Solanum lycopersicum: one gene and its partners. The protein of the gene in region 2 interacts with the protein of the main gene of each other region in a pairwise test. Links are inferred from orthologs where the notes say so. Each region holds a gene or a part of one and is shown on either strand. Other genes may lie near its edges.

Evidence for each region.
Region 1: the proteins of serrate RNA effector molecule (region 2) and RNA polymerase II C-terminal domain phosphatase-like 1 interact in binary tests that used the Arabidopsis thaliana proteins (3 or more experiments, as listed by UniProt). The link is inferred for Solanum lycopersicum from reciprocal best matches to the Arabidopsis thaliana genes SE and CPL1.
Region 3: the proteins of serrate RNA effector molecule (region 2) and ATP-dependent helicase BRM interact in binary tests that used the Arabidopsis thaliana proteins (3 or more experiments, as listed by UniProt). The link is inferred for Solanum lycopersicum from reciprocal best matches to the Arabidopsis thaliana genes SE and BRM.

What each region holds. Positions count from the first base shown.
Region 1 is NC_090801.1:59,404,946-59,412,706, forward strand, and holds part of RNA polymerase II C-terminal domain phosphatase-like 1, read right to left. Parts: coding exon 7,738-7,761; intron 7,245-7,737; exon of another isoform or gene 7,016-7,244; intron 6,260-7,015; coding exon 5,783-6,259; intron 5,521-5,782; coding exon 5,310-5,520; intron 5,228-5,309; coding exon 5,070-5,227; intron 4,981-5,069; coding exon 4,910-4,980; intron 4,774-4,909; coding exon 4,668-4,773; intron 4,523-4,667; coding exon 4,439-4,522; intron 4,233-4,438; coding exon 3,648-4,232; intron 3,544-3,647; coding exon 3,483-3,543; intron 2,675-3,482; coding exon 2,544-2,674; intron 2,445-2,543; coding exon 2,391-2,444; intron 2,133-2,390; coding exon 2,036-2,132; intron 816-2,035; coding exon 595-815; intron 498-594; coding exon 411-497; intron 1-410. UniProt on the Arabidopsis thaliana protein: Processively dephosphorylates 'Ser-5' but not 'Ser-2' of the heptad repeats YSPTSPS in the C-terminal domain of the largest RNA polymerase II subunit (RPB1). This promotes the activity of RNA polymerase II.
Region 2 is NC_090800.1:3,476,496-3,484,782, reverse strand, and holds the start of serrate RNA effector molecule, read left to right. Parts: upstream 1-3,321; 5' UTR 3,322-3,655; coding exon 3,656-4,101; intron 4,102-7,580; coding exon 7,581-7,699; intron 7,700-8,099; coding exon 8,100-8,157; intron 8,158-8,287. UniProt on the Arabidopsis thaliana protein: Acts as a mediator between the cap-binding complex (CBC) and both the pre-mRNA splicing and primary microRNAs (miRNAs) processing machinery.
Region 3 is NC_090800.1:82,010,579-82,018,956, reverse strand, and holds the start of ATP-dependent helicase BRM, read right to left. Parts: upstream 5,251-8,378; 5' UTR 4,932-5,250; exon of another isoform or gene 4,820-4,931; intron 4,667-4,819; 5' UTR 4,611-4,666; coding exon 4,449-4,610; intron 3,540-4,448; exon of another isoform or gene 2,542-3,539; coding exon 1,207-2,541; intron 1,097-1,206; coding exon 1-1,096. UniProt on the Arabidopsis thaliana protein: ATPase subunit of a multiprotein complex equivalent of the SWI/SNF complex that acts by remodeling the chromatin by catalyzing an ATP-dependent alteration in the structure of nucleosomal DNA.

The DNA of each region.
Region 1 (7,761 bases), on a different chromosome or scaffold from region 2:
GAAGGAAAGCAGATTTTGTAGAACAGAACAGAAGCCATCAGTAAATTAAAGTTCAATACTGTATGTTACTAGCATACTGGAATATTTGAAAAAAAAATACAGAAAACATGCTAATGGGATACTATCTCTTGAACTTTTGTTAAACATATTCAATATTTATCTTAGTGCTGTTCAAGATTAATAAAATCTTTCCTATAGTGATTATAAGAGAGAGAGAACTAAATGCAAAGGATAAATGACCCAGATCCATCCCGTGAATGAAGCAAAAGGTTGCAATCATTTCAAAATAATAAATGGTATATCGCCTCTAAGCCATGAGTCAGAAAAGATGAAAAGAGTTCCTAACACTACAGCAAAGCATATTTCGATTAATCAGCAATACAAAGAAGAAAAGGAAGTAAATAGGCAACCTGGGCGTATATTTCACTTTTCTGGCCCGGATTAACTGAAAGTTGAGGCTGAGTTTGAAATGCCAAACCAAGTCCTTCAATTGCACACTGAAAGAATCAAAATAATAAATGGCACATCCCAAGACATCAAAAGAAAACTGAGGTAAATAAGGTACACTAACATAGCAAGCTTATAAAATCTTACTAGTTCTCTTAGGGCGCCAACTGAACCCACTGACTTCTTAAAAACCTCAAGCCTTGGATCCAACACTCTGGGAGGCTCTGATGCAAAAGAATGTGAGACACGATCTTGATACCCAAAAGGACTCATGTTCTCAACAAACCCATTATCACTTGCATTTGGAAACCTAAATCCATCACCCTGAGTGGAACTGGAATCAGCTTTGATACATGACAAGTATTTGTCTGTAAAAGCAACATGAAAATGTCAAAATCATCAATCTTATTTGGAAACATAACATTTGACCCGATGGACATCTAAAATTCATGGATATTGCAAATGGTTTGCTAATAAGAAAATATTCCTCTGATTTGCCAACAAGCACACTATATAAGACTTGTGTAGTGCTTATTCAGCAAGAACAATGATAACTATTTACCCCCCATCCTCTCCAACCACAGTATATCGTGGCTAAGTCATATCAATACCAAATTAGGCCAAAATTAGATACCTGTCATCTCTCTAAAGAGTTCCTTAACACAAGGATTAAACAATTAACATCAACATTAAAATTCTCAAGAGTCCTACGTGAAGTAATGTGATCACCAACTATTCTGCCCAAAAAAGAAATGTCCTCCTCTTTCTGAACCCTTTTCCAGGAAAGGGACTGGTCAACAAAACCCCACACATTATTTTTACAATATTCTACTGAAGCATTATGCACACAACTAGAAGGATGACTCCTTGAAAAGAAGAAAAAAGCAGCATCTATGCAAATAATGCAAAACCTCTTTTTTTTATTATTATTATTTTGGTTAGGAGGGGGGAACGGTGTGAGGCCCATTTACAAGTGATGAAGGCCAATCCAACTGATTTTATATATATATATATATATATATATATATATACATATATATACACACACACACACACATATATATACACACACACACACATATATATATACACACAAAAAAATGTACATAAATTGGAGTAACAACCCAACAAACTACTATTTATTTTTGATACAGACAACTCAAACGCAGAACTAAGTAGAGCAGGAAAAGTTGAACTTCACAGAAGCATGAAAGCCTTTTAGCTTGACTCTTATCACTCCTAAGAGTTTTTCAAACTTACTCTCAAAATTTAAATAATTTTCCCAATAGATGAAACAAAATTCACCACTGAAAGATGTCACAGTCAAGTGGAATAAGATCCACTTAACTCAAATTCAGCATAAAATCATCTTAAAGACTGCACAGGAATACTCACAACTCCAAGTGCCAACAACATCAGTTCATAACTTCACTCTATCACCAGGTTTGCTCAAAGAACACTCTATAACCGTGGAAGTGCATGTAGGTTAAGCTAATACAAGGTGATGAAATCTAATCACAGTAAAGCCAACCTTTGAAAAGTCAGATCATTTCCTACAGTAAATTATGACACAACACAACAAACTTACCGGCCAGATACATAAGAGATTCCTCAGCAGCATGTCGTTGCGCTTCCCTTCTCGTCCGGCCGATTCCTTCTCCAACCTTTTCTCCTGCAAACAACACCTATACAAGCAATACAAACTATGACTCAATAAGATGGATAGACCTCAGTAAAAAAGATTGCAGAAAATCAGATAGGGAGCTTGTCCAACAACACAAAAGAAGTGTTGACATTCATGCTACTAAAACATGGCTTGACAGAGCTCACAGGCAAGACAGAAACAAGGCCCATAAGACTATTGTGGTACATTCTTCATTAAGTAAAGGTGAGACTTAAAGCTCATTGGAATAGTAGAACTAGGATATATGTAATCAGCATACCTCCAAGCAGAACTGCAGTTCTGGACTCGAAAGAAAACTTGATCTGAATTCGACCTGCATGTATTTTCCATAAGCATTCAGAGAAATCACAAATAGAAGGGAGGAAACTTTACATTAGTGCTGCCTGATGACTGGACATAGGGGAAGCACTACCTTCACTCCACACTTGAATGCAATATCTTGTAAAGCTCCAGCAGGTGTATCTAGATATGGATCATAATGTCCAGGATCAAGGTCAAGAACCCTGTTGCTGGAAGATGACCGACCCAAGGAAACATCCTCACCTGTGAAACTAGAACTTTTTAACACCATTTCTGAATAGAGATTTAGCTTGTCTCATATTTTTCGTCCAGTGACATCACATAGTTGCATAACAGACCTGTTATTTGCTTTTTCTTTTTTAAAGTCTCATGTGTTTGTTTTATAAGAATATAAAGTGTAGTTATTTAGCTTGTACACATTAAAAAACACTTTTATTTTGATCAACACTGAGATATTATATTCATCGTCTGTGAGGATTCATGTAACTGACCCCATCAGGGCCAGCTTGTGCACATCATGACTAATCCCATGGAGTACCTGCTAACTCCCACCATCACAGGTACAAGGTAACTTTGTCCATCAAGACTTGGACAAGGCATGGTCATTGTATAAACCTAAGCAGAAAGATGCATGCCAAAATGCACTCCTAAAACCAAAATCACATTTGCTTTCATAATAAAAGAAGAAACCTGGGAGGGGGCTGAGGCTAACAAAAGCACTCAACATGAGCCCATACTGCTTAGTTTTGTTTCTCTGGGTGTTAAAAGAGGTCCATACTCCAAAAAATTGTAATATTGTAGGGTAACCTATTTTTGTCCTCTTTTCAGCAGTTCCCACTTCTGAGTTCTGACAAGGATTATAAACTATAGCATCTATTACTGCAAAATTTCAAGTACTTAACAAGCTTTCTGAAAGCAACTTAAAGGAAAAGTGAAAACTAAGAAACAGTTTTTGGTCAACATATGTACCAATCAGAAACCATCTTAAGTTAAAGAATCAAAATGCTTAAGCTTTTACATAACAGTTCTCAAGCGTGGTTCATGGCCATACCTGGTGGGCGAAAGCTAGGTTGTGATTGGGAAAATCTCATCCTGTCATCCCGAGGGATTACCTGGAAACCAAAATGGAAACAAACCAAAAAGAACAGTTAGGTCATAAGTTACTCGTGATAAATGAATTTTCAAAGCTGTTGGCATTAACAAATAGATAACTCACCTCTTTTGGCAGCCTTTGGTTCTCAAAAAAAACTCTATCAGATGGCATAGAAGTCTCCATTTTGGGAAGAAAAGGTGGATGAGGAGGCCGATGTTTGTTAATATGCATAGACTCTGGATTTAAAGGAAATTCCTTGGGAGGTAAGGGTCGATTAAGTTGCCTAGGGCTCACCTCTTCCTCAGCCGGAAACCAACCATGTGGCTGCACCCGTGGTGGCACAGATACTTGTAATGGAGTCCCAATAGGGAACTTTGGTTCACTTGATACTTGATCTCTCGTGTCTTGACCATGCTGCAATATAAGTAATCTCCTCCTTGTATCAGGATCTAATTCAGATTCTGGTACCTCACCCTCTTCCCTAGCAGGAGAACTTTGCAAGCTTGTATCCTGAGGACTTATTTGAGTCACTGATGATTTAAGTACAGAAGTCACTTGAGGGAGATGTTGAGTAGGAAAAGGCACCACTGGGCCTTGAATGCTTGGTTGTGAAATAACAGGTGGGACAGGGTACTGGAGAGCTGGTACAAGTCTTGGATCCAAATTTGTCATTTGAGAAGGAACACTTGTTGAAGCCAACATTGCTTCCTGAAAGGTCGAGATAACTAAATATTACGCTACAGTATCACAAAGAACACAAGTTCCATTACATGCTAGAAGAAAAGATTACACTGTACAGAGGAATGAATTATCAAGAGAGCAGAATAACCACATCCAGCACTTCTGAACCTCATGAAAAGTGTGGATACACATACCCAAACTGAGTACAAGACTCAAATATAACATTATTGTACCTTCAGTCTTCTTTCAACCTCACTATCAGCCATTCCATCAAATCCAAGTGAATCTTTATTCCCATTTACAGCTGAAGGATCATCCTGACAAGCAAATAATATATTCTCTCATAAATATTCATAATAATTTTTAAATTGGTGCAAAATTTTATCATCCATATTGTAGATAATCATAAAAACTAAGATCTGTCAAGAGAAATGGAAACTTTTAGACATCATCCTCACTAACCTCCGAAATCAAATAGTTGCTAACATCGGGAGCAGAAGGAACTTGTTTAATATCATCTTCATATGCAACTTCAGATATTCGCTGTAATAGGCCTTCATCAAAATCTCTGCATAAAGTCAGACCAAGTAAATCTAATTTAGATAAGAAACTAACCCCAAGAGACGACCAAATCTAAATAAAATAAGATAAAATAAGTTGGACAATAAAGATTATTGGCACCAGGTAATCTCCTAAAATCTTACTTGAAAAAACCACCTCTAACATTGCAGGCTACATTTCTGGCAACACAAAGAACAGGAACAGAATTGTTGCCCTACAGTAAAATTATTCAAGTACTTCAGAATGTTAACATATGATATAGTTCAACATCTCATAGAAACACTAAGAGAATGTGGTACATACTTCAGCTTGAGGGGCAAAATATGGAGCAAATGCAGGAACAACGTGCACTCGAGGTTGATCCTTATCATCCCACACTTTCAAGCGATCATCAATCACCAATGCCATCTTAGGATGACAATTTCCATCTTGGAATACATTGAACAAAGATTTCCTCAAGCCTACAAAATAATCATGAAAAGTCAGTGATTAGAGAGAAAAAGAACAATGCACTAGCGAAAGTTTTGTAATTTAGAAACTTGCCAGACTTGACACAGACAATACGATCCAAGAGTTCTTGTGAGTTAATCAAGTTTGAATCTGGATCAAGAAGGCGCCACATTTCTAAAGCATAATCTCTTTCAGCCATTGTGCACACATAAACTTCAAAGCGCTTCCGACCCCTTGCAGTCAGATAGCTGCGGAGATCCTCCCAAGCAGGTCTCAATCTCACAAGAACACTAGTATCACGGATCTGCCATGGAAAGAATATGTGATGCATCCCCCCAAAAAAAGTATGATAAAGCTACAGACCATAAAACAGTTTAATGCAAAAGAGGAAGGGGAGAAAGAAATGGATAGTCCTATCACTGAACCCCTTTCAACAGTAAACGTAAGACTACAAATGACTTGCATTCCTCATCTGGCTGTCAACTAGTCATCAGTGGACCATAAATGACACGATTAACAAAACAGGGATAACATGGTATAGACGATAGAGTACAAAGTCCACATACCATTGGATTAATACGAGTAAGAATAATGTTTCTATCTTGCAACCTAATCAGGGGTCTGACAATAGGTTGGTGATTATCAGACAATGCGGGGAAAACCTCAGACTGAGATCTGATCACCTTTCCATTGTCAACAACCTGATCATTTTCGGCATATTGCTTTAAAATAATTTTATCCTCCTGGTAACGCTTGACCTCAGCCAGCATAACAGAGGCACGTTGCGGATCTGACTCTGAATTTATTTTCCGCTGCAAGGCCTCTATTCTATCCTCAAATGAACGCATTGTGTTGGCAACTATGAGTGTCTCATCAAGATCAAATACAATGCCAAGACACCTGAGGTTTAGCATTGTTAGACAAGAATCATAAAGCCCTGATGCAACCTTAAATCCCCAAAAGCAAGGACATTGTCCGCCAATATTCTTAGACTGCATGGCGACTAAATGAAGTTCCTCTCTTCCAAGTGACATCACTGCAGTCTGCATTAAAAAAATACACGGTAATAACTTTGATAAGCAAGCAATTGACATTTGATAGGGAGACAACGAGAAAGAGCCAAAATAAATACCACATATCAGAGGAAAGACCTCTCAAAAATCTAAGCTACAAATGATACATTTGCAGACGACATGGAAGATGTATTTGTGAAAAGCTTTCAGAATGTTTGTCTATTTGCAACAATTTGAATAGACCTTTTTATATATGTATAGGAACAATTAGAGTAGACCTTCTACATTCAAAAAATAAACAAAATAGACTTTTTATGTTCATCATATCAGAAAGCTATCAATTGTAAAAGAGCTTCAAATACTCTTCGAGTCCTCTTTCAAGTATAGACCCCTGAAGCAAGAATCCCAACCTGATATTTACAAAACAAATGCAGGAATAGAAGTAATCTACATTAGATTCACTAGTTCTTAAAAGAAACCTCAGCTTGACAAGAAATACAAGGACAGATTGCTACTTAAACTAAGTTGCTCGGACTCCGGTGCTGATCTAGAGGTCCAATTCATCATGATCTAAATTTTGAGATTCGATGATAGGGATATAGGTATGGATACGAATGCGGTGGTTCGACTAAAAATAATTCAAATATTTAAAAGTAGAGTTATAAAACCTAAATTAGGATGTAGTATGTGGGAAAGCTTGAGGAGAGAATATCGATAAGAGGGAAATCCGGAAAGAGCTAAAAGGAAATTTCTATATACAAGGTATTTGATTTTCTTCAAATTCACCTTAACTTTTGTTTAGATTAAATAAATAAATCAATAAATCTATCCGGCATTCCTTCTTCGAATATGGTCTAAGTACCAAAATAGATTGACCATACAGGGTACGGATACCACACCCATGTCGTGTCAACACGTGTGCGGCACCTAAAGTGAAGAGCCCGAGCAACTTAGTCTTCAACAGAACCCTGTAATAGAACCCTATCCATCAGTCCATCCCTTTCTCAACTTCACACTGCAGTAGACAGCAAAAGGCTCAATCTTTCAGCATCCCATTAATTTACAGAAAAAGAAAAGCATTAAAGTCACCAAGTTCATTGAGTTCCCATATATGTAGGTCTCACATTTTAAACAAATCTGCAAAGAATTCTGTGAACTTCCAGGGACAGTATTAGTCTAAAGTCCAAAATTTTCAAAATAAAAAAAAAAAGGAACAACCCAAACGAGCAACTGCCACATCAATTATTTGGTCATCATCCATTTTATCCAGAGTCCAGTTCTTAAAAATAGTTAGGATTTTAATTTTTTTTTTTTTAGTGTAGAATCAAGAGTTTGATTCTTAAAATTCAGGTTACGTTTCCTCTGGATATTAATTACTTGTTTCATGAACTAGGTTTATTTCTCATAATTAGCCAGTCCTGGAAATGATTCGATTAGTTTTATCTTAATTTCTTTTAATTATCTCAAGTTCAAGTTCGTTACTGTCAATTCAGCAATTTGGGGTATACCTTGTTATCTCTGAGACATGTGGA
Region 2 (8,287 bases):
AAAATTTAGAAATAATAAATAATAGAAAACTTTCAAAAATAACAAACGTTATGCATTAAACAGGGTTCTATAGTTATAGTTTATTCAATTACGATTAATAGCAAAATATTAGGGGAGTAAAGACGCTAGATCTGAGAGAGAGTGTATTTATTCGCAGATTTAGTAGAAAAAAATACATCTACAAATTGATTATATCAAAAATGAGTACATATTAAAAGGAGAGAGGTGAACGAGATCGAAATAGGGAGGAGAGAAGCGAGTGAGATCGAGGGAGGGAGGCCAGTGGATTGTATTTTGTATTTGTTTTGTATCAATTGTATTTGGAACACAACGAATACAATTGTATGCATCCTCTCTTTGTTTGAATACAAATACATTTTGAAAGAGAGAATGAATTCATATTGTATTTCGTATGATTACAAATACAATTGATACAAAAAATACAAAATACAATTTTTCAAAAACAATTAAAATAAGATTCAAAGCTTGTATATATATTTAATTGAATACAATTGGAGAGAGAGGTTGTTATAAAAACAATATATTGTTGTTATTGTTTTTTTTCTTTTGTAATATTTTTGAACTAATTCTATCTTTTCATAAATGAGTTAAATTTTTTACTTATTCCATAATTCTTCCATAAATAATTTTTTTTTATTTGGCTATACTTGATATCTATAAATTTTAATTTTAATTGTGCATCACTAGATATTGAAATTGTCCAAAGAATGTAACAAATAAACACGTTCAAATATTTTAGGTATTATAAGATTGAAATGCAAACACTTTTACATGGAATGGATAAAAATAAGGGATAATTGTATATAATAGCAAACTAATAACCTAAAATAAATGGAGTAACTACGGTTTAATTTAATTATGCTCCATAGCAAACGTTCGCCAAAGTTTGTCAGTCGCCTCTCTCCCAAAAATCTCGTTCGCCACTCTCCCTCTGCTCGCCTCTCTCGCTTTATACACAGAAGTGTATAAATTGTGTTTCTGTTTTGTATGAAGCGGGAAAAAATTGTATATACACATGCAAAAACATATATTTTCGTGCTATACACTTAATTATACAATTTACAAACATTTTACTTCAATTCAATTGTAGACAAATGCAAATTTTATACAAATATTGCAGCGAAAAAGGCCAGCGAATTATACAATTGTAGTGAAATACAATTTTCTCTCGCTTTATACAACAGAAGTGTATATATTGTGTTTCTGTTTTTGTATAAAGCGAGAGAAAAACATATATCTTTTTCCTATACACTTATAATTATGCAATATACATACATTTTACTTTGTTTCAATTGTATGCAAAATAAATTTTATCAATGTCTCTTCATGTTATCTCAACAATCAAAAGAAATTAGGAGACATTAATCCCAAAATTAACATCTAAACAAAAGCTTATAGTTTCAGATTTTCTATTATTGAATATTATGCATTAAAATTTCGATCATGAATTACAACAAACATGAAAGGAAAACAACAAGCAACAATAGTATTTGTATTTAAATTTATGTGAAGGCTGCCATCTTTATAAAATCTTTAAGAAAACATATGTGATTCCCTAATTCTTTTCTTCAGAATTGTTTTTGACTTGATGAAATACTTGCGGCTCAACATTTGAAGCAGACTTGCAGAGTCTTATAGAGACCTCTTTATATATGTTTGAACTAGAGTTTTGGAGATATTTTGGTCCAAACAATTTTGGCCCTTTGGCTTGAAGAACATGAGTATTTGAGCTCATTTTGTCAACTTGATATATTGGTCCAAATATAATTTGCACTTGATTTAAGTCATATAATTTTAAATTAAATATTAATTTAACTTTATTAACCAATAATTTTACTTTCTATGATAAATTTAAGATTTAATATAAATTTATTAATAAAATTTCATTATCAACAAGATTTAAAATAGACCTGAAAACAGTGAAATTGAAATAATTGTATTATATAGCCAACTCTAACTAGTTAGGACATGATTGTGAAATTGAGATATTGGATTCATAGATCCAACTCGAGCTAGTGAACTTTATAATTAGGTATCGTATCTAAGTTAACACAAACTAAAAGCATTTATAAATAATTTAGCAAGATTCATATAAGACAAATAATTAAAGATCTTTGTTAATGATATTAAATATTATATTTGAGATATGTATAGCCTTTTGAAAATATATTAATTAATAAACGTATGTTCTTAATTAATATTATAAAAAATAAATTATTTATATTTTTTATTTAGTATATTTTAATTAAATTAATTATTAAAGTTAAAAGCACATCATGAAATGCGTGTTTGACAAAAAGATTAATATTATAAATATAATATCATAAAATTATAAAAACATTTAACAGAAAGATAATCTATCAAGTCTAACTAAAAAAAATAGTATGCAACATAAAATATCTGGTCAATACTTCTAAAACAAATGAAATTGAAAATATAACATAAGTTATAAATTTAAAACAAAAAATTTAATGTAATACTCTTATATCAAATTCCAACATAACATACCTCAACATGATTTAAAAAAAAAAAAATATAAGTTCATAACCTTATTCAACAATAAATTCTACTCTAATTTAAAAATTAAAATACTAACAAAATTATACTGATAAAAAATTCTTATAGATAATACGAAAAATTATATGAAATCATATGAAGTAATGATTGATAATGAGAAGGAAATGAAATATAGATAGTATAAAATATAAATGTATATTTTTAGAAAACAATTAGAATATTAATAAAAATAAAAAAGAATTTAAAATAATAAAATAAAAAATAAATTTAAACGAAAAAAATTAGAAATATAAGGAAGAAATAATCAACTTATAATTACACCATTTAATTATTATCAGCAATTCGCAACTCCTCTATGATTAAAATAATGTAATTATCTCTGTCAATTACGCTCAATTACCTGCTGACCAAGTAATTAAATAGATGACCAACCAAACATGCCATACAATGTAATTGCACTCAATTATATCAAATCAGCTAGCAAGCTGATTTTCCAAACACACCTTAAAGGTTTTTAGACAAAGCAGAAGAAAGAAATTTTTGTTTCACATAAATGGATTCACAAGTGTCTTCGTAAAAAACTACATGTTTCTCAAATGTTCATTCACATTCAAATATGTTTAGATCTCCTAAATACAATTTATGTTATTTTTGGTATAAATACCCACACGCGCAGACACCCACATGTACACGTACGCGTATATTCGCGCACACTCACCCACGCGCACATACACGCAAACACATACACACACAAATGACCCTTTTTTTTTTAAAAAAAAAACTTATAACTATGTTATTTTTAAAGATTTTTAAAATTTATCAAAACACTCGGAAATGGAGGATAAAATTTGTATAGTAGAAGTGAAATAGAAAAAGTTAGTGGAGTTAAAAATCAAAATCTTCTTTTTGTGGGGAAATTAAGTAATTGAAGAATACTTTTGGGGTTGTAAATGAAAACCTTTTATCTCCTTAAAACTCAAAAATCTTATTTACTTTCCACTCCCTCACCAATCTTTTATTCTCCATTTGTCACTCTTAATTTCCACATCTACAAACAAACACTGCACTCTCAGCTAGGGTTTCTCTTCCCGACGATTCACCGCCACCGTCGCCGCCCATGGCTGAAGTAATGGACGCTCCGTCGGAAGGTTTAGAACGCCGCCGTGAACGAAGCAAGGAAAATCCAAACAAGTCGACGGAAGAGCCACCGGTATCTTCTCCACCACCGCCTCCTCCTCCTCCGCCGTCGAGGCGTGGCCGTGATAGAGATTCACGGGAACGGAGGGATGACAGGGATTTTGATCGTAGAGGTGGTCGTGGGGACTATTACGATCGTAATCGTTCTCCTCCTCATCATCCTCCTGGTCGAGAGCGTGACTACAAACGTGGAAGGCCTAGCCATAGCCCTCCTCCTCCTCTTCCTCCTTATCGTGACCGACGTGGTGGATATTCTCCTCCTCACCGTCGTTCGCCTCCATTTCCACCTTATAAGCGTTCTCGTAGAGATGACTATGATGGACGCCGTGGAAGTCCTAGAGGTGGTTTTGGGCATGGTGATCGAAGGTAAATTACGAAGCTTTTTCTCCGCATATGATTGGAAATTCTCTTATAAATCTTCGATTATCAGTCTGTTTAGCCAATCAGTGGGATTTCTTATGGATGGCCGCAGTTAGGTTGTTACTGAGGCATGTTATGGCTATGTAGTAGGATTACATAAATAATTAAGTGGAGGATGGCAGACGCGCAGACTCATGATTCACCTTGTTTTAAGCTGAATAATAGTAGATTTTTGGGACCTGGGTGATGAAAGGAAGGAGTAGGAAGAACTTATTTACTATATAATTCAAGCTGAAAAATAGTAGATTTCTGGGACCTGGGTAGTGAAAGAAAGGAGTAGTAAGAACTTATATACTATAATAAATATGGTGAAATATAGCATTTGTTGGTCCATTAGTGTGTTGGATTAGTATATGCAACAGCAATACAGTACACTTTCCAGGGCATTACCCATTTCCCCTAAGAAATTGCTATGAGAATGTTTAGGTGCTGACAAAGGTTATGTTTGGGCTTTTTGAGGGTTCAGTACTATTAGAACAGTGGTGTAAGCTGAAGAAGTTAGCTTCTGTGAGGTACCAGTTTTGGTCCTTCCCATAATGCACATATTTTTTGAAAAATGTAGCTTCTCTGAGGTTCCGGTTTTGGTATGGTGTATAATGCTCATATCTGATTACACCTTAATCATGTACTAGATAAGTTGGTTATATCAATTTCCTACATTTATTCCGCCCACTGTGTCTGTTTCATTCAAATACTAATGGACTCTTTAGTGATGACCGACAAACCTTTTGTTTAGTTCAAGCTCAATGACATGTTGATGACAGATGCTGCAATTCTGTCTGTCTATGCTAGCAGACATATTAAGGTGCCAACATTGTATGTAAACATGAAATTGGAGGATGTTTTTTTTTTGAGAAGCTATCAAGTTGGATGTATTAAGCACAAAATGGTAGCAAGGAGGAGATACTTCTTCCTACTTGATAGCTAATGCCCTGGGAGAAGCTGGCCATAGTGCTCTGATTTTTCCAATGTCCGTCTGCCTGCGGCGGCCCTCCTATAATTGAATACCATTCATTCAATTGAAAATGTTTCAATGCGGTTACCCTCTTCCCTAGTGCACTGTCTTCCAAATTAAATCTGCATAACCATCTCATCGAAAGGCTCGTGTTTTGTGTCCTCAAGTTCTTGATCCCTAATCTTCTTCCATTCCTCCCTTTTTTTCTTGATTGATGTGACGGTACTCCATTCGACTTGGAGGAAGTTCTTGAACTTTTTCTACCCTGATGGGTATTGGACAAAGAGACATAATATAAGATGTCATGGAATTAAGTGACCCAAAGAGAGAGGTATTGTCTCTTCCAGTTAGCCAATGTCTTTTCACATTTCCTTATAACACCATGCCAAATAGAATCTGCTACCTGTTTTGCCCCTTAAGTCATCCCCAAGTACTCTGTGGGGAGACTTTCTATTTGACATGCAAGATTGGTAGCCAAAACCTGCATATTCTGGACTGAATTAACTGTAAACAAGCTGCTTTTGACCAGTTAACATGGTGTACTGATACAGCTTCAGAAGTATTTAGGATCACGTAATTGTTCGCATAATTACATGAAGGAGTACCATCCACGCCTTTGGGAATATGAATTGCTGTTTTTTTTTTTAAAATTTTTTTTTGGAGTTCTTAATACTCTACTTGCATTTAACACAGTGCTGTCTAACAGGATTTGTCAGTAAAAAATATGTTGCTGCATACTCTAGTGAACAGAAAACAGCCTGGGTTAAGTTATTTCTAGTGCTAAGCTTTATAAAATGTAGACAATAATCAACACTCATTTGGAAACCCTATGACCAGAGATCAGTGATGACAGAGTAATCGTAGGAAATAAAAGGATTATATGGACTGTAAGTTATGCGTGAAATCCTCCAATTTATATTATTGAGGAGCAAATGGAAATCCGATAAAATTTTTTAGGTCCGCTGCAGCTTTCAAGAAAATTAGTTGATGTTACGGTTAGGAATTCTCACTCAGACCACTGGTGATCAGGAAAATAGATTCTACAAGCTGTTATTTCACCTCTGTAGAATCTAGGAACCATGGTATTATTTTGCTGTATACCTGAAGAGTTGCAGAACAATCTTAGAATCACCTTATAACCTTCATAGCGTAATTGTTCGACTTCATTTTAACTTACCAACTTTTATTCTGAAGCTAAAATCATTCACTTTCTTAGGTTTCTAAACATTAGATTAGAGATTACGGAGTGTGTTAGATCTATCAAGCAACCTTTGATATGTTGGTGCAAGTTTCCTGATGTTAGAGAAATCCAATATGAACACAAAAAACTGTTATCTAAAGATATTTGTATTTTTCTAGCTTACTCTGTAGTGAGTTCTTGCATCCAATGACATATGGTGATAATTTTTTGATGAAGTAGTGGTATTTCAATTGAAGAACCATCAAGAAGATGCATAATCACAAAAACAGAAATAGAAAAGTACATATCAAAGAGTTTGTTATCCTCGTTACAGTGTGTCAGTCCATTCTAGGGAGCTAAGAAAGTTCTAATATCAGCAACTGCTAATTACAGGTGTTAACTTAACCAGCTAAAAAGGATAAGCAACATTTTTCCTTGAGAGTGTCATTTGGAGTTGAGAATTTCATAAGATCACGTTTGGTTCTTTTCGCTCCACAAACACCAAAAAATAACTACAGGAATCATCAACTAAATGTTCTTGATGGGCTTCTCAACTCTCTGTGAACTTCTTCTTTTATAAGTCTCTCTCATATGATGTGGCATGACCCAATTCAAACCAAAAATACAGTAAAACATATTCTGCAGTTCAGTGGCCACTGAACAATGTAGGAAAGAAGCGACTGACACTCTCCAGGAGGTTGACTGCTGGAAGCCTTTTCTGTGAGGGTGTCTTGTGTTAAACATGACCCAGTTAGAATAGTCCAAATTGAAGCATATAACCTTGGTGGGCAATTCAGTTTTCTGTATCAGCTTCCATGACCAGAGGTCATTAAACTTATTCAGGATCACATCAATGGTGAACATCTTTATTCTGGCGAACTGCAAACATATCCATTTCCCAACAGTGTATTGACCTTTTGAGTTGCACTTCTCAATTACTGTCAAGTCTATTTTGTGCAAGGGAGTCCTTACTAAAGAATGACATGCACAGATTAGAACAGATAAAAGCACGATCAGCCGTTTATTTGTTAAATAAGAACAAAAATATACCTGAGGAAACTAACGAATTTCTGCCTCTTTTTCTTGTCTTTATTTGCACACTTCTCTAGTCGTCCAAAGTAGCATCATTCATTGTGTTTTCTTTATTATTCATGCTTTTATGGCATTTGTCCTTTTGCATAATTCTTGTCTTGCAATTTTTTTGCATTTACAAATCTGATCTTTTCTGTTGTCAAATTATCTTGCAAGTGTTCTTATGATGGTGCTTACGAAATCTTCTTGATATTGCAGATATGGTTATGACCATCAAGGAGGTTATGACCGTGAGATGGGGGGTAGACCTGGTTATCCTGATGAGAGGCATCATGGACGATTTGCAGGACGCTCGTCTGGTGGCTATCGAGGAGGAGGTCAGTCTCATTTATATTTTACTCTCATGGAGTATCTGCTATCAGTGGGCGTGTTAAATGTGTAGTGTTTCTGCTTTGTAAAGTCTTAACTTCTATTTGAGTAATATGTGTTTTTGGGGTGCTTTATGTAAATATTCGTTGCTCTATAGGATTTGTTTCATTTTGTTTTCTTAGATGGTTCCCCTAAAACCCACTCATGTCTTCAACAAACTGGAGGGAGAAATGTTCATATTTGAACTTTTTGATGGTCTTTTAGGTGCAACCTGGTTGATTTTTCAGTTATTCTTTTGTAGCTTTAGTCTAGTACTATTATTCACGATCAAATTATTTGCTCCAAATTTTTTGTGGCGTTTGGCATTTCTTGGGATGGAGTTTTGACCTATATATATTTTTTTGATAGACTGGGGCCCTGTTCGCGGAGGATTTGCAGATAGCTTTGGTGCAGGGAACAATCAAAGGTACAAGTTTGTGCCATAAATTATTACTCTTTCCAATGTTCTTATTTTTGCCTTTACACCTCCCTGCAACTTCTATGCTTGTAAAAGAGCACCCTCCCCCCCTTCCCCCTCCCCATAGACTCCCATCTAG
Region 3 (8,378 bases), about 79 Mb from region 2:
TTTTCTTTGAGAACTCCCTCAACATCCTCTCATGATACTTAGCTACTCCCCTGTTGCGTGCAGTTCGAGCATCACGTATTGCCCAATGAGCCTCAAGAAGCTTCTTACGCCATTGAAAAATTAATTTTAATTGTTTTTCTCTGCTAGCTTTCTGGGAGGCCTGCACTTGCCTAGATAGATCCTGACGTTGACGCTCGCACAGCCTTACGAATTTTCGGTAATGCCTATCAGGCATTGCCATTATCTCCTGCTGCTGTTGGTCAATCTCATCCCTCATTCGTGCCTGTATACCAGCAAGTCGGAGTTTCTTTTCTTCTATTTGCAATCTTAGAACAAGATCTGGTCTAATCCTTTTCCTCTCTAAATTAATAGCTAGTATATCACCAATCTTCTTTATACTTTCCTCCCTTTTTCTCTTGTGAAATTCTGAGCCTTCCTCCATTAGAAGATCCTTGATATCATAACCCAATGTTAAATTATTGTTGTTGTTCATCATCATGGATGGTCCAAAACCATCATGCTTTCGAGTGAAGAAAGGAAAATCGAATAATGGTCCATGATACTTTCGAGCTGGGCCCGTATCTTTTTGTTGAGTAGCACTAGATTGCATAGCTTTTTTCACCTGAGTAGTATCAGAACCAGTAACTTGTGATGCAACAGCTTTACCCCTATCTGGTGCAATATCACCTCTGCCAGTAGTGTTCTTAATAGCATGATCAGCATCCTGGTCAGATTTACTAGTATGTCCCATGATTCGCTGCTCCTCTTTTCCAGGAAGAACCACTGATGCATTCTCCTTTGTCTCAGTTGTGCTACCTGGCACAGGTGCGGTTGCGGTTGCGGTTGCGGTTGCGGCAGCTGTACTCTCCTCTCTTGTGACCTCCTCCTTTGAACCATTCGGTCCATTAGATGGTACTACAAGCTGAGGACCCTTCTCACTTGGTTCCGAGGGTCTTCTGTTATCTTCTGAACCTTTTCCTGGTGTTCTCTCCTGATTTACTATACCACCAGGTGGAAATGTTTGCTGCATTTGCACATCCAGAGGTGGCGGAATTATAGCTTGGAGTAATTCACGTGGTAATGTCCCATCTCCTTTCTACAAGCAAGAAAAAGAAGATCAAGATATATGTAATAATAACAAACTTGAGTATTTTGAACAAGGAAAAGTAAAGTATGTAAACCTGACAGGTACAGTAATGTACAAACCTTTATACGTCTAAATGCAAGTATTTGGGCTTTAAGAACATGCAGTTGCTGCTTACTGAAACCCAGTTGTGGTTGCACCTGACGGACATTTCCACCCTGAGACATAAGGGGATTCCCCGAGTTCCCATCTGGAGAAGAAGCTGCAGAATGTGATGAAGGTCGACTCAACTGCCTGGCATACTGCGTCTGCAAGATTTCTTGGGCATTAGAGGCGGGTTTAGGCAGCGAGGTGTTATCCGCACCCTGGTTTGGGTTTACAGATGACTGTGGGTAATGCATCGGAGGTAATCCACTGCTAGCCATAATTGGTTGTCTAGGAGGCAAATTGTTCTCTCTGCCATGAGCAGAAAACTGCTGCTGAGGAATATTATTTGGGTTATTCACTGAAGCTACACTATGAGACGCAGTGAGAGGACCAGTTGTAACAGCCTGCCTAGTTTTAGCAGAACTTGACCCCGACAAATCACTTGAAGAATGAGCATGGGGCGAACTGTCATTTGCAACTTGAGGTGATGAAACTTGCTGCTTTGGCATATGACCTGATGAAGATTGAACTGGCACATTGTTTTCAGGCACTTTCTGCTGGGCAATCATTCTGGACTGCATGAGCGGAATTAGCTGTTGCATAATGTTAGCATTTGCAGGTAGTGACAGATCAACATTACGTTCATAAGCCAGAGCCTGCATTGCCTGCATTGCCTGCATCTGTGCAGCCATAGCAAGAGAGTTACTCGCCATGTTCGCCATGCTTTGCTGAGATGGTGGCGCCTGCATGGGCTTCGTAGCTACCGTTTGGCCAAGCAATGTTGGCTGGGAAGGAAGCTTTGGGTCTGGCCTCTGATCGGTCATAAACTGCTGTCCCTGGTCTGATTGTTTCTCGCTACGAGAGAAAAGTTGCTCAGAGGATATCTTTGATGATGATGCTTGGGCCTGGTTCGGTGCCTGCATGGAAACGAGTTCCTGAATTTTCATATTAGCAAGTCTAGGATCTTGGTCCTTTGCAGAAGGCCCAAACATTCCCATTTTCATTTGCTGCTGATGTTGCATCCCAAGAGCGGACTTCTGTTGTGCTGCCTGGAAAGCATACTGCAGGTATGCCTGTTGGACAGGACTCAACATCGGTTGCTCAAAGCCCTGGCTCCTGTTCTGTCCATCCTCTCGAATGGTGGGAGAATCATGCTGTTCAATATACCTCCTCGACTGCTGAGGCAGCTGCATGGATCCAGAAGGTCCAACAAAATTACCCCCACCTAAAATTCCATGGGGACTGCCAGTCTGGAAGGCCAGAATAGCTTCGTTTCCTTCAGGCCTTCTAAGTAACTGTTGTTGTAATGACTACAAAACGAATATCCGATAAGTGATATGTAAAAGTTATTTATAAAAGAAGGTGAGTAATTTAAATAAGACCTAGATTATTGTGATCTTCCTTATTTTTGACAATAAGCCACCACGATATTTTCAGCAGGGGAACATAATAAGACACTAAGATTAAACACAAATCAGTTCGAAAAGAGCAGCTATCATGATTCAACATAACAAGTTTTGACACTTTATTTGAAAACATACCTGGTAAAATATTGTTTCAAAAATAATTTAAAAAAAGGAACAACAATCTCTCCAGACATCAGTAGTTGGAAGCAAACAACGCAACAAAAGTACATGGAAAAATATTATAACAATATAGCATACAAGAAACTCGAGAGAAACTGGTATGACTGACAAAGTTGATAATGCTGAAGGTTAAATACTGCCAGTCAAAAGCATGAAAGAATTTCTAGGGAAATTTGCAGCATTCTGAAGGACAAATACTGCCAGTCAAAAGCATGAAAGAATTTCTCGGGAAATTTGCAGCATTCTATGCACATATTGGACAAAAATACTCTGGTTTAGTTAAGCAACATCTTATTTCGTCCTGTGCTGCAATTCGTCTTCTTCAGTTCACTTTTAATAAATGTGTTTCCTGTTAAGGATAATCAACTCAGAAATCAAATACAGTAAAATTTTAGAAATGAGGACAATTACAACTTTTCAGAGTATCATTAAGTATCAAATTTGGACAAAATGTGTCATATGTATGGACGAAATAGAAGTTTGCACTCCATAACCTAAGAAATGACAATTAATCTGGTATGAGTTAAGAACATCATTGCAGTTAAGAATCACATGGACAAAATGTTGCATATCACGTATGGACGAAATAGAAGTTTGCATTCCATAACCTAAGAGATGACAATTAATCTGGTATGAGTTGAGAACATCATTGCTGTTAAGAATCACACGGACAAAATGTGGCATATCATGTATGGACGAAATAGAAGTTTGCATTCCATAACCTAAGAAATGACAATTAATCTTGTATGAGTTGAGAACATCATTGCAGTTAAGAATCACATGGAAAAAATGTGTCATATCATGTATGAACGAAAAAGAAGTTTGCATTCCATAACCTAAGCAATGACAGTTAATCTGGTATGAGTTGAGAACATCATTGCAGTTAAGAATCACATGGACAAAATGTGTCATGTGGATGGACGAAATAGAAGATTGCATTCCATAACCGAAGCAATGACAGTTAATCTGGTATGAGTTGAGAACATCATTGCAGCTAAGAATCACATTAACTTCCAATACTGTTGGAAATATAAACCTTTTGAATAGGTCAAGGTTAAAATATTAAAGACCTGGCAGAGACGAGCACTTAAAATAAGGAAGAAAAGGTGGAACTATCTATCAAGAAAAAGAAAAATAGGAATCACAACATGCTAGACAATACGTACTTGGTGGAACTTAACACTTCCATTAGAGGGAAGACTAAGATACACAGAGTTAATTCTCTGAAAAGTGAATTTTGGATAACTCTAAAAATCAACAAGCGCTAATACATTTTTCAGCACAAAAAATGCTCTTTCTTACAAAAAGCAAATCACTCTCTCCTTCATACAAAGATTTTCAAATTCCTCCTACTTCCAAAGCTTAAGTAGTTTAGCAGCTGGCATCTCAGTGCTAATTGAACAAGAAAAAGAATGTCTTTCACATAGCAAGCAAATTCATGTCACTTCAAACCTAGTGTTGAACAACATCATACAAAAAAAAAAAGAACTTGATGTCTTATGCGAAACCCACTTCCAAAATAGAATAACAAACATCAATCCTACTTCAGAAAAAAACAAAATGCCACTTGAAACACCCCCTCTTCCTCAAAAGCACAAGTAAAATTCAGAAAAAAAGTTGTTAACCCTAACCTGCCGCTGATGCTGTTGATGCAGCTGCTGCTGATCCAACCCCATATGAGAGGCAGAAGAAGATGATGTTGGAGAAGCTGAGGCTGATGCCGCCGTGTTCCGCCCATGTCCACCACCGGCGCCGGCGACACCACCTTGCTGAGCTCCACCCCCAGATTGCATGCACCCTTGAAAATTCAGCAAAAAATTCTATTTCCTCCAAAAATGTTGCAACTCACCTGAAATTTAATTGATTAATTTCAGAACCCCATCATCAAGAAAATAAGTAATGAAACATTAATTTCAGTGGAAACCCCTGTAGTTTCCTAAAACCCAAGATTTCCCACTTTCCCCGATCCCCAAGGTTCAAATCAACCACCCACCCCCCTTACCTCACCACTCTCTACACCTCTCTGTCCCACACAACTGTACTTTATCTATAAAAATTTTCTCTCTTTTTTCCTGTATGTATAATTTCCTTATTTTCTTGATAAAAAAAGCTACCGAGAATTTTGCTGAGGGTAATGGTGAATGGATTTTGGCGCGAATCTGTGGGCCTATGATAAGATCGGAAAAGTCGCCGGCGATCTTCCGAAGTTGCCGGAATCTCTCTCTATATATGCTGTCTGGTGTGTGTATGTGTGAATTTTCACGCAGTTTGCATTTTTAGTCCAAGCCCTAACAGCTGTTATTTCTATGTGCTTCTCCTTTTTCCCTTTTTTTTTTTTTACTCCTATTACATTAAAATGACAACAAACAATTTTTAGAGATTTGAAAAAAAAAAATTAATTTTGTGAAAAAATTTGCAATATTTTTGTAAATTATATTCCCCTTAAAAGAGTTTTCTATTTATCTAAGTTTTAATGGATTCTATTAATGTATTTGATGAGCAATAATAAATAAATTATATACGTGTAAATTGACATATATATTATGAATATGAAATTAAAAAAGTCATATAAAGAAGTAATATAAATGAAAAATGAAAAATGTGCGATGATTAATGAGCTTGTGAAACTCAAAATCTAAAATATGGTAATTTAACTTGTTATAGCATGATAATAAGTATTTATTATTTTATCATATCATGATTAATAGATATCATTATTATTTAAATAAATAAATACCTTTATAATTGATGTGATTATTTTTCTATAGTGAGACTATATTATTACATTACAAGTAATTATGTGAACGCTATAAAAGATTTTTTGACTGGTAAAAAATTTATCACTCTTCTTTTAAGAAATCAAATAATATAAATATTGTATATTTTTATCATATAGATATGGAGAAAATTTACAATTTATTGTACTTTTATAAAAAAAAAATTAAATATCTAAATTTTTAATTTAATTTAATGTTGATAATCAATTAAATTAATTTTGAATACTATTTTGGAACTGGTTACATTTTTGTTTTTGTAATTATTTTTGTAATTTGTATGTATGGATTCTTTTAAATTTTTGTTGTCTTTTTGCTCAACAACTTGGGTTTACCTTGGGTTAAGGGCTGGTTAAGGTATAGAGAGGTTAGGTTAGTGGAATTCATTTAACCTCAGAAAACGTAATATTTACCAAAATACCAACATTTTATAATATATGGAAATCTGATTACGTAATAACGTGTGTCGACGGATATTCCTATTTGGCTTTGCATTTTCAGTCTCTTTTTAGTATAATAATAATAAGAATAAAAAATAATACCAATTTAAGAAATATTAATTTTAACATATATTTTATTTTATGTATGTTATAAAAAAATGTTAAATTAAAAGTAAAATAATTTATTTATTGAAATATGCGCGAAAGGAATTCATTCGACTTTTTATTTGAAAAATTATTATATAGAGCATAACTTCAGAATTTTACAATTCGAATTTTAACTGATTTTTGTCTGAATTGTATAAATATGAATGTATAAAAGAAAATCACATAAATTGATAAATATTGTTTTGGCAACTATAATTATGAAAAGGAAATCGTGAAAAGAGATATTTGAATCCTAAAAATCTAAATAGATTATTTACACGTATTTTATTTTACTCTATTGGACATAATAACTTACCACATTTGTAATTAAATAATAATGTCGATAAGATTAGTTACGAAGAGAGAATTGAGTTTGAATTTTTAGAAATAAACGTATATATACTTATATCTTAAATAACTCTTGCACAAATATAAATTTAATTGAATCTTGATATCAAAATAAGATCAACACTAAAAAAAATGTCTTAGTGGCTAGGAATATCCAAAAATAAACAAACTTAAATCCATGAATATGAATTACGAGGACCAAAAAAAAAAAGTAAAAATAGTGGAGTGGTAAATAATATTGGTTTTTTTAATTAGGAAACACATAACTATTTTTGTGTAATTAATTTAATTATCAAATGTTGGCTATCATATGTGTACAGCAATTTAAAAATGGAAATAACCTGTAATTTACTTATTTTGATAATTTAAAATATCAAAAAGAAAAACAGACTATCTTGCAAGATGGGAAAGTATATGTTGGATATCATTTTAATTGAATTACGTGAGAAATGAAAATAAATTATTTTAAGTAAATAAGGATATCAAATATTAGGAGTTCTCAAATAAATAAATAGCTTTCTAGTGAGGATTATGACACTGAGAGCCTGTTTGGCTCAGCTTAAAAGCTGATCAAACTGACTTAAAAGCTGGTGTTTGACTTATTTAGCTGTTTGGCAATACTCTAAACAGCTTATTTTAAGTTAAAAAAAACTTATTTTAAGCCAAAAGTTAAAAGCTGGGGTATGGGTGCTTTTTTATTTTTAGCTTATAAGCTGTTTTAAGTTGACCACATTTTTATCTTTTTGTGCTTAATATTTTTATACAATCTCCAAATTACCCATATAACCCTAACATTTCTTTCTTCCATTTATCCCTTTTCACGTTTGACATAACAACTTCAGCACTTTTATCCAAACACATAACTGCTTATTTTTAAAATAAGTTTCAGCACTTTTAAAAGTACTTTTTTAAAGCTGCTTTTATTAAGCCCATCCAAACGGGCCCTAATAGTGGGTTGATTCTAATTTTAAGGTATTGAAGTTAAGGAAAAAGAGTTCCAAAAATATTTTACCCCTTCACTATTTAATAGTATATTTTAAAGATATATATGTGCTCACGTGAATATAGTACTGTTTATAATTATGCAATATCTTTTATGTCCGTGCGAACACATATATACCTTTAAAATACATTATTCATTAGCAAAGGGGCAAAAGATCATTTCCAAAGTTTTGTATCATAACAACAATTCTAATCAAAATTCAGACATATTTCAGATATTTTTTCCTTTTAAGCTATTTAAGTTATGTAGTATCGAGGTGTACTCAAAACTTTTTGGTGCTTCGATCAGGTCGGAGGACTTTCTTTGTCCTACTTGGCCAATCACGTTTTCTATTTTTTTTCGATTTTCGATGAGTAACTTCTTTTGTTTGAAAGTTATCGATGTAATATATGTATTTGTCGTTTATCTATTGGTAGGGTCTGATAGTTCTACTAGCTAATGAGCAGCTTTTGGATAAAGTCGGTGGGGCCCTATGGGCATGCATTTCCACAAACACGAGCACCGTTTTTCAACAAAAATAAAGAAGCAATAGATTCCAAACACTACACATTCAAAAGAAGAAAAATCATTATTTCTGATAATATAATAACTTTAAATATAACTAGTTTTTCAACACGTGTGTTGCACGTGATTGTCAATTGTCAATTCAAAAAATTCTCAATGAGCAATTTCTTTTGTTTGAAACTTATCGATTTAATATATATGATTGTCATGTATCCTGTAATGAGGTCCAACTATATCGATTAGCTTGTGAGTCGTTTTAGGATAAAGCAGTTGGGGCCCTATGGGCGGACATCTCCACAAATACGAGCACCGTTCTTCAACTAAAATAAAGAAGCAATAGATTCC